Linked DNA regions of Canis lupus familiaris. The protein of the gene in region 1 purifies or fractionates together with the protein of each later gene. This does not show direct contact. Links are inferred from orthologs where the notes say so. Each region holds a gene or a part of one and is shown in the gene's direction. Other genes may lie near its edges.

Region 1 (3,563 bases):
CAGGCTCTTGGTGCGTGGAGCCTGCTTCTCCCTCTGCCTGTGTGTCTGCCTCTCTCTCTCTCTGTGACTATCATAAATAAATAAAAATGTTTAAAAAAAAAAAAATTCTCACTAAACTAGGAACTTCTCAAAAACAGAGGAAATATATATGTATTAATAATGCTTAACATAGTTCTGGGCAGGTGTCAGAAAGGCAGTAAATAATGAACAAATGAATTAATAAATTTGATCTTCATAGCACTCCTTTCTAAAAAGACATTGTTAATTCCTAATTTGTGTTGTGTATAGTGAGAACAAGGAAGGCCATTTCACCCACATGGGATAGGCCTGGGCACAGAGGGGAGGAACATAGATTTTGACCTAGGAGGAGAGATGAGTTTATTGGGATTTGCTCTGCTGTGGGTGTTCTAATACACCTCTATAAGAGGCTCCTGAGTGTTTTCTGTGCTAACAAAGACTGTCTTTACCAAATTCTTTTACCAACAATACAGGTATATACACGGTCTGTGATTGAACCACTTCCTGTTACTCCAACTCGGGATGCGGCTACATCTCCTATTTCACCTACTGAGAATAATACTACTCCACCAGATGCTCTGACTCGGAATACTGAGAAGCAGAAGAAGAAGCCCAAAATGTCTGATGAGGAGATCTTGGAGAAATTACGTAAGCACTTTGTAGCTGTCTGAACTTGCGTTTTGTGTGTGACTGAATGAGCACAAAGATGGAAAAACATTGCTAAAAGGATCCTAGTCCTAGACTTGGTCTATGTGGCTGGCTGGCTATGCTCGATATCTTAGCCACATAAGGTAGGCTTCTCACCTTGCCCCTGCACCTACCTCCTCTGTCTCAGCAACCCTGATTGGATATTGTGTTAGGATAGAAATGTGAGGGGAGTGTGGACAGCTCACTTCGAGCTAGGCATCTCTCAACCGTAGGCATCGGTTATGGAGATGAAAAGTAGCTTTTATCTAATGGAATAGTGTGGAATGTTGTGTTGAGAAAGACTGAGGCCTTACCCATACCTGGTAGGAAAGATTGCTGTGATTATTGATGCTTGCCATTGACTTAGGAGAAGACTGCTCTGCCATCTTGGTTGTAGGAAAAGAGGGAAGGAAAACTAACATTTTGTGAGCCTATCTAGGTACCAAATGACAAGCAAGGTGTTTTCTTGATTTTTTTTTTTTTTTGGTTCCTTTATTCCTCATATTAACCCTGTGAAGACAGACATTATAATCCTCATTTTTTGCAGTTTAATGTATTTGAGGCTCAGGGATGCTAAATACCCTACCCAAGACAGTGACAGGGCTGGGGTCAGAGACCAAGTTATGCTGTTGTAATTAGAGCATGCTGCCTCTTGCTTTCAAGTGGAAACTTCCATTTTATTTTCTTTAGTGGCCAGAAATGGGGTATGTATATTAGAGTAGGTTGTTTCTGTGTTTCAGTAAATTGCAAGAGAATTCATACTAGAAGGAAGGACTAGATTGACCTTTGGGCTTAGAAAAATCATCTGATGCAGCCTTTAATTTATCCTTTGTACCTGTTTACTTCTAAAGAGGATTTGATGTGACTAATTTGGCCAAATCCACAAACTAGCGCTCCTCTCTAAAGCCTAGGTTTCTGATTCTTTAGCTTAGCAGCTCTCAATGTCTTCCTGATAATTCTTGTTTGACTTTTATTTTTTTTTAAAGATTTTATTTATTTATTCATGAGAGAGAGAGAGAGAGAGAAAGGCAGAGACACAGGCAGAGGAAGAAGCAGGCTCCATGCCCAGAGCCCAATGTGGGACTCGATCCCGAGTCTCCAGGATCACACCCCAGGCTGAAGGTGGCGCTAAACCGCTAAGCCACTGGGGCTGCCCGACTTTTTTTTTTAATTTCACTCTTTTACAAGTTGCCCTTGCCCAGAGCCCTTACGAAATGATGAAGCAAGAAAAGCCACTTACCTAGCCATCTGTTTATTCCTATATATAGTGTTTTTATCTGAACCAGATTTATTTTAAAGCAGTCATACTTAGAACATAAAATTGTGAAAAGCAGACTGGCATGAGAGGTAAGGGCACTTGGGTTAAAGCCCCAGTCCAGCCACTGACATGGGTCTTGGGCAATTTCCTACTGTTCTCTGGGCTTCCTTTTTTTCATCTTTTAAAGAGGGATGTTAATACCTTTCTTATTTATAATCATATGAGATAGTATATGTGAAAAGTATCAAATCTTAGTAATTAGTGTTAGGGAGGACACACTGGACTGGGAGACCAAAAACCAAGCTCCTAATCTTATAAGGCCCTGACACCAGTTTGCTGTGTGACCTTTGGGGTGGGGGGGATTATGTTCCCTTCTGTGGGCCTCAGTTTCACCATCTCTAGAGTACAAGTTGTGAAACCTAACCTCTCTCACACCTCTATGCCTTTGCACTTGAATTACTGCCTACTGTAACCCCTTCTCAACTTTCCTTGGCTAACTCCTACTTACCCTATAAAAATCGTCCAGAATCACTTCCTTTCTGAAGCCTCTCTAGTCGGGAAAGGCTCTTTCTGTATTACAACAATTGTATTTTCATGGAACTTTAAGCTTAATTTTCTGTCTCCTCCCTGAGATTGAGCTTCTTGAGAGCAGGGACTGTTTTAACTATGTCTCATCTATCCCTTTATTCTTAGTATTCAACATTGGGCTTGGTACATGATATGTGAGCATATTAAGTGAGTGTTTATTGAATGAATGAATTTAAAAATACAGTCAATAAAAGCAGTAAGGAGATGAAACTTTTGGTTGCAACTTAAAACTAAAAGCTAAGGACCTGCTTAGCGTGGCTTTGGGAATTGGAGGTAGTTCTTTAATCCTTGTCAGCTGCAGGGTTTGGGGGAATATTGGGCCTGTTTTGTATCTTGATCTGGGAAAAAAAAATGATTCATGGTCTCTGTTTCTTTCAAAGGGAGCATAGTGAGTGTGGGCGATCCTAAGAAGAAATATACACGGTTTGAGAAGATTGGACAAGGGTTAGTAGGGGCATTTTCTTTCCCTAGGGAAATTACTTAAAAATTGGGTATGCTGGTGTATATGATTTTGCTTTTGTTTTGCCTCTCATAAACTTCGTTCTTTCTCTACCTCATCTCTCACCCATCTGGAGGTGTTATGTTAGGCTGACTTCAGGTTTGGCAAAATTATGCTTAGTATGAGAGACGTGCCATTAGCTGACCATGTTGCTAAAAATAACCCTTCAGTGAGAGTGCAAAAAGCATTTATCTTCTTAGCACAAAACCTGCTTCCCAAATTACAGCTCTGCTTTTTCAGATTAACCCTTTTTACCTGGCACTGAGACCTACCAGCACTAATGTGAAATGGAAGACTCAGAACTGCAGACCCCTTCTGCTAATGTAATGGGACCTGTCATTCTAGGTGCATGCCAGGATTCATGTCTCCTGCTCTCTGATTTCTTCTCTGTATCTTGCATGCTGCCCTCAGTGTACTGAACTCACCAGATCTTAACTGAGTTCCTGTTTATGTGCTAGGCACTATGAATACAGCTATGGATCTGACACAAACTCTGTCTTAAAGATCTCATGT
Region 2 (3,563 bases), on another chromosome or scaffold:
AGCTCTCTGCTCTTAGGAATGCAGAACAAGGCCAGGCACAGGACCATCTCTTTTGCATGGTTGTACAGCACAAGTCAGTGGCTTCTCCAGTTTGACACTAATGCTCAGAGACTGTTAATGTAATCTGATTTAAGCTTAGGTGCTCAAACAAGAGGCAATCAGACCAAAAATCTCCATTCTGGGCTCTGGTCTGCCTGATGCCTCACCTATAGGATGGGATACAATGCTGCTTCCTCACAAGGCTGTAGGTCAGTTAAGAAAATTACAAAGAGAGAAGCTCTAAAAAGCAAGTATTCTGCAGTCCTGGCCTTTAGAATGACTAATTGATGTTTTGAGACTTCAGGTCTTAAACTCCTGCTGGAACTTATTTCAGTGTCATTCATTTTCTTCTCTAGTAGGGGATATGGGTCACTTCCTTTTCTTTTTACGGCCTAAAGAATGGGAAATGTTGCATCTGAACTGCAAGTAAGCAGCTTTCTTTCTTTCTTTTTTTTCTGGGTGGTAATCAGTCCTAATAAAGCAGAATTCATCAGAGCCAAATATCAGATGTTAGCATTTGTCCATCGCTTGCCTTGCCGGGATGATGACAGTATGACTGCCAAAGATCTTAGCAAGGTGGGTCACACTTTTTAAAATCCCTAAAACTGCTGGATCAAATGATATATTGTTTTGTTTGAAAAAAACTTAAAGAGGAAGAAAAGAAAAACAAAACAGAAACTTTCTGTACTCTAAATAATTAATAACAACCTTTTTTGCAGTTGGTTACATCTTTAATTTTAGTTCAAATGGCAGCCATTCTATGTTAGTGGAGGTACAAGGAGGTACAAGGAAAAATAAGTATGTATCTAGAAAATTATTTATGTTTTTCAGAAATGGTTTTGAAATTATATTTCTTGAGGCACCTGGGTGGCTCAGTTGGTTGAGCACCTACCTTCAATTCAGGATATGGCCCCCAGGATCCTCTGATTGAACCCCGCAGGGAACCTGCTTCTCCCTCTCCCGACTGCTCATGTTCTCTCTTTCACTATCTCTCTGTCTCTCAAATAAATAAATAAAATCTTTATCTCAAATAATTAAAATCTTTTTTAAAAAAGAGAGGGAAGGTGAGCACGAGCAGGTGGAGGGGCAGAGAGAGAGGGAGAGGGAGAAGCAGACTCCCCACTGAATTGATCCCAGGACCCTGGGATCATGACCTGAGCCGAAGACAGACGCTTAACCAACTGAGCCACCCAGACACCCCTAAAATTGTATCCCTAAAAGTTTTTCATTTAACTTTAAAATAGGAACCATCCCTTGAGTTTGTTTCTAGAAGGGACTAGAAAGTTCGAGGGACCTCTTTAGGTTTCTGGGTTGCATACTGAGTAGGATCTTCAGGAAGCAGGATGACTGAAAGCTGTAGTGCTTATGATTCTTTATTATACTTGTAAAATGAGTAGATGGTTTTCTTTATGTGGGCCTTTGCATGATTTTGAGAGATGCCATGAGAAACATGCATTTTTATTTTCAAAGCACTGCTTTTAGGAAATGTTCGCACAGAGCTTGGACACTTGCAATCAGAATTTTAAACTTTGCAAAAAAAAAAAAAGGAATTTTAAACTTTGCATAGAAAACATATATAACTGTTACTTCCGTTAATAAGCTTGGCATGGGGTTTTTACCACAACTTAAGAATATTAAATACATTAATTGTAAAAATAAGGTGTGGATATAGATGCTGGAGTAGACTTCTGCATTTTTATAATAAGGGTTATTGCATTTTAGACAATTCTAGGTTAGACTTGAAAAAAGCAGCTAATCTTCTGCATGTTTAAGAGCTTTTCTGCAGTGGTACAGAATTTGGTATACACCAGGCCTATTTCCCAGCCTGAAAGATTTTGTTAAAGTATTATATACAAGGCCAAGAATGTTGTTATGAAGAGGGTGTGCTATAAAGCAGAATCCAGTAGTTTACAGCATGGGGTACGCAGCCCTAAAGCCCTAGGTTAAATAACAACAACAAATAATAATGATTATAATAACAGCAGTTGTATTCTTTGAGTGTTTCCTGTATACCAGGCTCCATGCTGAGCATTTTGTTATATCATTGACTCCTTACAGTAATCCTTGAATAAGTGGCATTGTTTTCACCATTTTAGAGCTGAGAAAACTAAGGTTCAGATTGTTTAAAGAACTTCCACAAGGTCACACAACTTGAAGGGTATATGGTTTTAACTTCAGGTCTTTGAGACTTCAGAGCTGTGTTCACCTATCTTCTCATACCCCCTTTCACTTCAGGTCTGATTGTACCACTTAGATTGTGCATTTGGGCAAATCAGCCTTCCCATCCTTATTTCCTTATCAGTAAAATGGACCTGGCCCCACCTTAGAGCTCTGGAGTGGTTGTGACCAGCAAGGGAGAGGCTTACTGAGCTAAATAACTGATTATCACTAATATAATGTATATTAAAATGATCTGCCAGCTGCTATAGTATACCATTCTTTACACTTTTAACAAATACTTTTTTGATTTGTGTGTTTTTCAGCAACTTCATTCAAGCGTGAGAACAGGGAATCTTGAAACCTGTTTGAGGCTGTTATCTTTAGGAGCACAAGCCAACTTCTTTCACCCTGTGAGAAAAGCATGAATTGATTCAGATACTAAATTGAAACTAAGTGGGTTGTGTTTGTTGTAGCCTTTAGTTTTATTTAATTTGCTTGTTAATCTACTTTTTATTAATATTTCTCAGGAAAAAGGAAACACCCCACTCCACGTTGCCTCCAAAGCAGGGCAGATTTTACAGGCAGAATTATTGGCAGTATATGGAGCAGACCCAGGCACACAGGATTCTAGTGGAAAAACTCCTGTGGATTATGCAAGGTGAGAGACCTAGATTTCTTGTCACTGCATCTTTGGTTAGGGATTATTTATGTTGGGTATTATTCATTGTTGGTGGCTAAATTGTGTATGATTAACATTTAACCCCTTTAAGTTAAGGATATACATCTCCCATTATTTTACAGATGAAAGCATTTCAAATACATAAGAGCTCAGAGCCTGGCAGAGTTGGAGGAGATAGAACCATTAGCTTAGCTAATGTGCTTAGCTTCCAGTGTGCTTAGCTTCCAGTCTTTCAAATGACTTCTAATGCAATGGTATTTGAGCCATAGTCCAAAGCAAGTATCAAGAATTGCAAAACCCACTCCTCAGTTTCTTAATATGTTTAGTCATTGCTTGAACTTAAAAAACAGAGCTATATAGATAGGTAGGCGATTAAACAAGTAATAGTAAAATGTTAATTATAGGTTTTAGGTAGCAGATGTCTGGGTGCTTGCAATAAAATTCCTTAAGTTTCTTCTTGTTTTAAAAACTTTGTGAAATGCTGGAAAAATAAAAAAATCCATGTTAGCCTTGAATATCATTTAAATGGTAGAAGATGGCTCATCTTTCTTTTTCCAAATTAATTTTTTATCAACTGCAAAGCATTCTACTGTTCTGCAGAGGATAAAATGGGTGAAATGCCAAAATTGTGCCTTCCCAGAATTTATTATCTCATGGAGGAGATGATTCATAAATACATGAAAGA
Region 3 (4,211 bases), on another chromosome or scaffold:
CCGGGAACCGCTGCCCACCTCCACCACGAGGGGTCAGCAGAGTGTTGTGGCTGCAGCCGGAGTTGGGGAAGGGGCTGGGGCGGGGGAGGGACGGCTAGGAGTGGCCAGAAGAATGCCTGTACGTTTGTTTCCTCATTAAATTGTTTATAGAACCTTGTCTCATATTTCTTTTTCTACTGTCTTGCTTCCTGAGGTGGAGACGTCTCCAGAGGGAGATCCTGGAACCCTTTTATCCCTAGTCTCGGGCCCAGAAGCTCCGCAGTGGCGGGGCTGGGGTCTTCCGGAACAAAGTTTAGAGTGTGGCTTCTTGCCTGGGCCACTCCCAGGTAGTCCCCGGGCCAGCCCGGAGGTAGAGCTGGCGGGCGGGAGGGGGCGACGGGGTGAATCATTCTTCCCCTGAAAAGTGTTGGGAGTTCTGGGAGACGGGGAGCTCGGCCAGGATTGGGGGACCTATGCCCTTAGCAGCCGGGTCTCTTTGCCAGGCGGCCCTAGACCAAACCCAGGTCGCCTTTCCTCGGGTCTGCGCCCTCCAGCTGCCACGTGCTCGAGACGCGCCCACACAGCAGAGAAACAAAGACAGCCAAGCGATGGAGCTGCCAGTAGCCGCCTCGACATTTAATAAATGAAATTCCATAGCTGTGGGTCGATCGGGGGTGAATGGGCGGCCACCGCTCCTGGGGGTGGGGGTGGGGGGCGCCGGGAAGAGCGGCCAGGCCGCTCCATTACGTCGTCCAGCCTGGGGCTACCAAGCCCACAGACTGGCTTCTCGGTGTGGGTGCGGCACCGTGCGGCAGGTGGTGCTCCCCCACCGCGAGGTACCTTCGCTTGCAGAAGCCCCGCCAGCTGAGCGGCTGGCTGTGGGGGGAGGAGAGGCCTGCAAAAAGATTTTTCTTAAAGGTGCGATTATAAATATACCCCGTGGATCGCGATTTCAAACAAACTTGTCAATCTGGGCTGCAGCAAAAGGCGATAGAGGCAGCTTTGCTTGTATTTCGGGTGGTGTGACTCATGAGCATTACTTGTCTCCCCCAGGGAAGCAGCCTGCCCACCCACAAGCCACTGCTGTTCTGGCACCGCTGGGATAAAATCGACCAACTCCCAAACCCCTGCCCAAGGACTCCCCTTCTCCCCCTTGTTACTGAGAAGGGCTCCCTGCCCCTTGGGAATCTTCCCTTAATTCCGGTCACCACTGACCTGGCCCCCAGGCCTGGTCCTGGCCACCCGGGCCCTGGCCCCAGAAGCAAAGCGCTCTGGCATTTTGCTGCTGCAGGGATGGGGGCTGGGTGCACGCGGGGCACACGTGTATGGGGGAGCATGCTCAGTGCAGGGGTGCACCCACGTGCCGCCTGCGCCTCCGCTTCCTGTCCCCCCCCCCCCCCATTGCCGTCTCCGTGTGAAGTCTAGGAAGAAAGGCCACCATAAGAAAAGGTCCCTGTATGTTATATGCACACGCCCTGGACACACAAACCTGCAGTGGCCCAGAAACACCGTGGAGGTATACAAGACGAATGCAGAGTGGATATTACTGCCCACAGGCACAGTGGTCACCCCTCGGGAGGCCTTTAAAAACTGCCCAGATTCTTTCCTCTCGGGACGGCAGCATGGATGAGGTATAGATGTATTTTTAGCTGGGAGGCAGGGGTACACCTGGGCGTCCATATTGTTGGCTTTGTGCGTAAGCAGCAAGGGTGTGACCACACACACCTGGACACACAGATGTGGATATATGGGGGGCCAGGTCGCACACCTCGCCTCAGCCACACAGAGGCGGGCACCCCAAACCACAGCGCTCTGACGAGGAAGGGGGCCTGGGCCTCTAGCTCCTTCCTCTCTTCCCGGGTCCCCCAAGGGTCACCGTCCCCGGGCCTGAGCCCCTCGGGCTACCCTCCACCTGGAAAGCGAAGAGGAGAGGGCTGCGCGGGGAACTCACACAGCCGCGGGGCCGGAGAGCGAGGGAGGCGAGGCCCGGCGCGCAGGCGACGCTGCCCTCTAGGGCCTGCAGCGCGGCGGCCGCGGCCCCTTTAAGCACCCCCGCCCCCTCCCGCCCGCGCTCCCGGCTTCCTTTCTCCGGGAGGCGCGGCCCGCAGGGCCCGGCGGCGGGGCGGGTTGCGGGCTGCCCCTCCCCCGGTGGGCAGGGCCTGCGCCGCTTCCTGCAGGAGCGGCCCGGAGCCGCGCAGGGGGCGGAGAGAGCGAGCGGCGGCAGGGCGGCGCGGGGCGGCGCGGGGCGGAGGGCGCCGGAGGGCGAGCGGGCAGGCGGGCACGGCGGGTTCCGGGCCAGCCCCGGGGGCGGACGGTTGGCCGGGCGCGCGGAGCCTAGCCGGGGCCTTGCCGGAGCCGGGCCGGGCAGCAGAGGCAGCCGCCGCCCGGGCCCGCCGCCCGCGCCCCCCACGCTGGCCCAGAGGGCTGCGGCCGCGTCGCCGCTGAGGATGTCCCGGAAGGGGCCGCGGGCGGAGGTGTGTGCGGACTGCAGCGCCCCGGGTGAGCAAGGCCGGGCCGGGGGCGGGACCGCGACCGCGACTGCGACCGCGACCGCGCTGCGAGGCCGCCGGGCGGGCGCCGGGCCTGGCGAGAGCGCCGTGCGGGGCCGGAGGGCGGGGCGCGGGGCTGGGGGCTGCGGCCTCGGCCCCCGCCCGGGCCACTGCGGAGCCGCGTCCTTGGCGGGAGGGCCGGCTGGGGGGCCCCGGTGCCCTCGCGTCCGCGGACGGGCGGGGAAGGACATTGCCGGCGCCACCCCGGAGTCTGAGGGAGGCAGGCGGCTGGCTGCCCCCCGCCCCCATCTCTACCTCCCGACGGAAGCGCCAGCCTGGGGTGGCAGGAGGGCTGTGGCGGAGGCCCGCAAGGTTCAGGAGGTGGGGGCGAGTGGGGTTTCGTGTCAGCTCGGTGCCACCCCCGCGTCTTGCACCTGCTGCTCGCATGGTCTGGGCGCCCGCTGAGGTGGCGGAGGTCAAGGGGCAGAAAGCTGGGCAGATGGGCCAGGGGAGGCTGGGGTAGTGTTTCTTTGGGAGCAGATGGGGGCGGGGGGGGGGTGGAGAGGCGGTAGCTACTCCGAGGACTGCCTGCCCCTGGTTCCCAAGGCCGGGGCTACTTGCAGGGCCTGGTGTTGAGGGCCAGTACAGCCTGGGCATCTTTCTCTCAGGCATCCCCAGGCTGCCTGGTGCCTGGGAGCCACTAGACTCAGCTATTCTTATGCCCCAGTAAGGTCTGCTTAACCCCGTCAGGTGGGCTTAGCATTGTCCCAGCTTGGGCACAGACCCCTCCTAGCCCTGTGTAGCCCAGTCTGGCCAGAAGTGGGGAAGGAGCAGTAGTACCCAGGATATCGCTGGCTTCCTGGCCAGCCTCCTGGCTGTATTTACCCTGGTGTTTTCCTTCTCCCCGGCACAGTCAGGTCCAGGCTGATGTGAAACCCCCCTGACCAGCTGAGGAAGTGAGGAGTGGTGACCTGAGTGGCTGCTACCTTCTGATGTGGGAGGACCGTGCCAGTGATGGGGCTCAGCAGTTGGCCTGGGGAAGGAAGCCGTGGCTTTTGTCCATCCTCTCCTTAAAATAAAGAAGCTAACTCCCTAGGAGACCTCTGGGCAGGCTCAGGGTGTCTCTGAATTCCAGGGGGACTGTGGGCATAATTAAACATGAGAGTGTGAGGTGCTGTTCCATGCACCCATAACTTTGAGCCACCCTTAGGACAGGCCTAAGACCCCAACAGGTTGAGAACCACAGATACTCCAGTGGTTCCGATGGCTCCAAGCTCAAGTGTTTGGTGACTGTGGATGCCTGGCAGAGGCATGGTACTCCGTGGGTGGTTGCGACCCTGGGACTTCTCTCAGGGCGTGTCATGATCTAGAGGGCCTTCAAGAAGCTATCTGGGCTTACATATCCTTATCCTAATGAGCTGGAAACGGTGATCTTCTTCTAGCCGCATGCAGGTCTGAGGATGGAAGGGCCAAGAGGAGGAGAGCTTGCCTTCTGTGGGTGTCCCAGACTGTTGTGTAAACCTCTGCAAGGCGGGCATAGCATAGGGGTGAGGGTGGAAGGTCCAGAAGGACTGGGGGGAGGGTGCTTCTGTCAGCTTACTCTGTGACCCATGGCAGGGCTCTTCCTCAGTTTTCTCAATTGTGAAGCAAAGAAATTGGGAGTAGAAATGGTTTTTGAAGACCATCCCATCTTCAAGTCTGTGGTTCTCATTCTCAGCCAAAGGGACATAGGACAGAATCAGC
Region 4 (4,291 bases), on another chromosome or scaffold:
TTTTGAAATGTATTTGCAATAAAAGATATTTTTTCTAATATTAGTAAAACTATGAAACCATAAAAATGGAATAATAGTTATGTAGGCTCTTTTGATTACTGTTTAGAATATTAGAATTTGGTCCTATTCATTTAACTGGTCTTTATTTTTCCTTTTAAAAGGATACCACTACTTTTCCAGTTTTCAGATCATTAGTATTGGCTTTGTTTCTGTGTATGTAGTTCTATAAATGTGAATGTGTGATTGTAGAAAAGATTTAAAGTCAGAAGAAAACTTATCTGGTGTGTGTATGTGCACTTGCGTATAGCGTGTATATGTTTATAAAAGGGAGGGAAGAAAAGAGAGGTAATTGAACTGCTTGATATGAAGTTCAGGAAATGAGGCCTGTACATAACCCCTCAGGAAGAGCAGGATCAATGATAGGGAACAGTGGTGGGATTTGTTTTCTGTTAGATGCCTGACTTGATCTATCTTTCTAGGACAAGCAGTGAGCAAGAAGCATTAGGAAATGAGTGACCTTAGAGCAGGTGATAAGAGTAACCATAGGTATAGGATGTTTCCAAGAAGCCCACTATTTGAAACTTTGTCAGTAACTATATAAAACTTTTAGACTGTTCAGAAAAGTGTTTAGGTTAAAAAAAACAACAAAAAGTAAGAAAGTAGCTTGGTTACAAAACACTGTTTTCTTGGTGGGTAATTGAGCATGGATATTAGCCAACATGCACCATCATTTTTAGCAGTAGGATTTTTTTTTTTAAGATTTTATTTATTCATGAGAAACAGAGAATGGCAGACATTGGCAGAAGGAGAAACAGGCTCCCTGCGGGGAGCCCAATGCAGGACTCAGTCCTGAGACCCCAGGATCAGGCCCTGAGCTGAAGGGATGCTCAACCACTGAGCCACCCAAGCATCCCTAGAATTTTTAAAGTAAAGATTTCAAACAGGATATTTTGTTTGACATGAACAATGTTTTTTAAACATTTGAATTTGTTACCAGTATTTAAATATTGGGAAATTTACTATAAAAAGTCAGGTGACAGACTTCCTTTTAAAATTGGAAGACCTGGGCAGCCCCGGGGTGCAGCGGTTTAGCGCCGCCTGCAGCACGGGGTGTGATCCTGGAGACCCGGGATCCAGTCCCGTGTCAGGCTTCCTGCATGGAGCCTGCTTCTCCCTCTGCCTGTGTCTCTACTATCTCTCTCCCCCCCCCTCCCTCCCTCCCCCTGAATGAATGAATGAATGAATGAATAAATAAATCTTTTTTTTAAATAAATAAATAAAAATAAAATTGGAAGGCCTGCCAACCTTGCCTGTATTTCTACAAGACAACAATCACCACTAAGTGGCCACTTTCTTTAAATTGGCCATGCACTGTTCCTTCTCTCTGTCCACCCTGTCATTTGTTTATATGTCTTTTGACCCTTGTAGGCATTTGAGTTTATGACCTCTCATTAGTGTCTATTGTCTTTAAGAATTCAGCCGAATATCTGAGCTAGTCTATGAGATAGCTACTGTTAGCTCACATTAACTCATGTTTTCTCATGTGTTTCTCCAGTTGTCTGAAGGAGAGAAGATAGCTCTTGTGCTTCAGATGTTAAACTAAAGGATTTGCCATGGGTGTTAGAGCATATTATTTAAGAGACTTTGGAGTCTGGCTGCTTGGGTTTGCATCCTGGCTGTCTTGTTAACTACATGGATGATTTTGAGCAACTTAGCTTTTCTTGGCCTTGATTTTGTCATCTCTAAAAAGGGTTGGTTAGAGGTGTAAAGGAGATAATCTATGTAAATAGCATAGTGCCTAGTACTTAGCTAAGATTTGAGCACTTTATTATTATTAGTGTAATATAAAAATGCTAATAGATATCTTTCAAAATGTTTACCCTATGTATTTTTTTCTCTTTTAGCCAAATGATTTCTCTGTATCACTAAAAGCACAAGGGAAAAACAAGCATTTTAAAGTCCAACTAAAAGAGACTGTCTACTGCATTGGGCAGCGTAAATTCAGCACCATGGAAGAACTTGTAGAACATTACAAAAAGGCACCAATTTTTACAAGTGAACAAGGAGAAAAACTGTATCTTATCAAGCATTTGTCATGATAATGCTGACCAGAAGTGACTGCTATAAAGCTATAACTCATCATGTAATTGAAGACTGAGAAAATGTCAATCCAATCATATTTGATTGGAAATTGATTTCTGACTCTACATGAGAATTGAGTGTGATACATAAGTATTTTTATTATAACTCAGCCCATACATATATACTACATATGCAAAGCATCTGCATAAAGCAGTTCCTTATCCTTGGTCTTCTGTTTTATTGTTTCTTGTCTGTTTTTCTCTTTGCTTCTAATATTAAGGTTTTATATTTTCTAAAGATGATGCAGATCGAAAGTCTTTACATGGAAGAATTTATTGGTTTTTTTCTTTATTTCCTTGTAAGGGCACCATATTTAGGTCACTTCTGCAATGGTTTCTCTTCATATAAAATTATTATATCAGTATATGGCATATGCTAAAATAAATTTCTTGGACAATGTTCTTTTCTGTGACTAAATAGCAATAATAAATGGATAATTAGAAATTATTTTCAGGTATTTGTTGCAAGCCATTGTAAATATCAAGTATGTTGTGTCTGCCATTTTTAAAAAATATTCATTGTCTTCATTGTAAAGCAAAACAAATGGGACATAGGTTTGAAAACGTATCTTGTACACTTTTAATTTGCAACTGTTGGAAACAAAAATCTAAACTTCTAGGACTTTTTTGTGGGGTTGCTTCTTACCTGGTTATTTAAGAGAATAAAGCAGTCTCTGAGATATTTAGCTTTTTAAACTATAAATGGATGCCCTAGTGTTATGTTTTTTTTTTTCCCCTAGTGTTATTTTGACAAAGCATCTTGTATTGGGGCATGTTGTATCTGTGTCAGTGTGAAAAAAGCTGCAGCCAAATGTTGGGGAAGTAGGAGGCAGTGAGATACTTGTCTCCCCTCCCCAAACATGTCTATCAGTATTAGGTATAGTATTTCTGCTATTTTCTTTTCCTCCTTTCAGCTTTGAGTTTTGTTGACTGAGACACTAAAATTGATCATACCTGAGGAAAAGATGGGATGTGCCAAATGGTTAGAGAAGGTTATTTTTGAAATCTTACTTTTGGAGAGTTTCTATTGTTTTTGTTTACTAAACAGAAGCTTGGGTGTATGAATGAGAGGCTACTATAGAGTATTGAATCTACTTCTGCAGGTCACAGAAGAAAACAGCTGTATTTTGTGGTCTTAGCTATCCTCTCCGACATAATTTGTTCTGGAATTTAAATTTAAGCAAAATTACTTTCAGTATTAGGAAATCTTATGGTATTTTTAAAAATTTCCCCAGTGCGGCCTAAGCAAATGAATGTTTCTATTCTTTAATGTGTTATAGATAAGTATTTAATACACCAAAATTACTGATGTTAAAATTGAAATTGTCTAATTCCTGAGGTTTTTGGATTATTTTTTTTAATTATTTTAAGTAATTTTTATTCTTTAACTCTTAAAATCATTTGAAGACTTACATTGCCACTGGGTGGCAGCCCTGGCTTCTCCCACTAAGCAATAGGAGTCAGCAAATACAATTAAAGCATTGATGTACAATTTTTTATTTTCACCACATCTACTTTTAAAGCCTTTTAGTTCATATTTCATTATCTTTGTCAGTCTCTCTTTGTTTATTGAGATGATTATTAGTAGACAATTGTAATAGAAATAAAAGTCATGTGCTTACCTGTTTTTGCTGTAAAATCACTTGAATATAAGTTGAAGAAAATAGTTTCAAAGTGTTATAAATATGATTAGGTAGTAAACACCTTTTTATTTGATTTTAAACAGCTGATGATGCTTTCTTTTTCTCCATTTTTTGTTTTTCCCCCCAGTCTTCTTTTTAAAAAGATATTTCTTAAAAAAAAAAAAGAAGCAATTAATACTTTGTAATCACAATGTAATTGATGCATTAATCATGTATCACATGAGCTATATTTATAGCAAACCCCACTGAACTTATGTTAAGGATTTTAAGAAAGCAGCTAGGAATGGAGAAGACTGGAAGTAGATTGCACATTCTCTGACATAATTAGATTTATAATAACTAGAGAGTTCCCAGATAGGCCACATGACCTGCACCTGCATATAACAAGCACTGCATATACTCATCTTCCACAAGGCAAAAGACTTGGGTATCTGATTGTTCAACAAAACAAAGCTTGAACAGCATCCAGGAGGTGAGGCAGGCAAACCAGGCTGTAGAACTCTTCCA

What was found.
Region 2: the proteins of PAK1 (region 1) and GIT2 purify together in Homo sapiens (affinity purification with mass spectrometry; 5 studies listed by BioGRID and IntAct, with this or other methods). This does not show direct contact. The link is inferred for Canis lupus familiaris from reciprocal best matches to the Homo sapiens genes PAK1 and GIT2.
Region 3: the proteins of PAK1 (region 1) and GIT1 purify together in Homo sapiens (affinity purification with mass spectrometry; 6 studies listed by BioGRID and IntAct, with this or other methods). This does not show direct contact. The link is inferred for Canis lupus familiaris from reciprocal best matches to the Homo sapiens genes PAK1 and GIT1.
Region 4: the proteins of PAK1 (region 1) and NCK1 purify together in Homo sapiens (affinity purification with western blotting; 8 studies listed by BioGRID and IntAct, with this or other methods). This does not show direct contact. The link is inferred for Canis lupus familiaris from reciprocal best matches to the Homo sapiens genes PAK1 and NCK1.

What each region holds. Positions count from the first base shown.
Region 1 is NC_049242.1:21,495,653-21,499,215, forward strand, and holds part of PAK1 (serine/threonine-protein kinase PAK 1), read left to right. Parts: intron 1-491; coding exon 492-666; intron 667-2,931; coding exon 2,932-2,995; intron 2,996-3,563. UniProt on the Homo sapiens protein: Protein kinase involved in intracellular signaling pathways downstream of integrins and receptor-type kinases that plays an important role in cytoskeleton dynamics, in cell adhesion, migration, proliferation, apoptosis, mitosis, and in vesicle-mediated transport processes.
Region 2 is NC_049247.1:17,528,831-17,532,393, forward strand, and holds part of GIT2 (ARF GTPase-activating protein GIT2), read left to right. Parts: intron 1-509; coding exon 510-615; intron 616-2,522; coding exon 2,523-2,609; intron 2,610-2,726; coding exon 2,727-2,857; intron 2,858-3,563. UniProt on the Homo sapiens protein: GTPase-activating protein for ADP ribosylation factor family members, including ARF1.
Region 3 is NC_049230.1:43,661,726-43,665,936, reverse strand, and holds the start of GIT1 (ARF GTPase-activating protein GIT1), read left to right. Parts: upstream 1-1,398; 5' UTR 1,399-1,443; coding exon 1,444-1,495; coding exon of another isoform or gene 1,496-1,659; exon of another isoform or gene 1,660-1,981; intron 1,982-2,348; exon of another isoform or gene 2,349-2,426; coding exon of another isoform or gene 2,427-2,478; intron 2,479-4,211. Other genes in the region: uncharacterized protein LOC119876655, read right to left, coding at 616-874, 1,469-1,659. UniProt on the Homo sapiens protein: GTPase-activating protein for ADP ribosylation factor family members, including ARF1.
Region 4 is NC_049244.1:33,892,826-33,897,116, forward strand, and holds the end of NCK1 (cytoplasmic protein NCK1), read left to right. Parts: intron 1-1,904; coding exon 1,905-2,099; 3' UTR 2,100-3,768; downstream 3,769-4,291. UniProt on the Homo sapiens protein: Adapter protein which associates with tyrosine-phosphorylated growth factor receptors, such as KDR and PDGFRB, or their cellular substrates. Maintains low levels of EIF2S1 phosphorylation by promoting its dephosphorylation by PP1.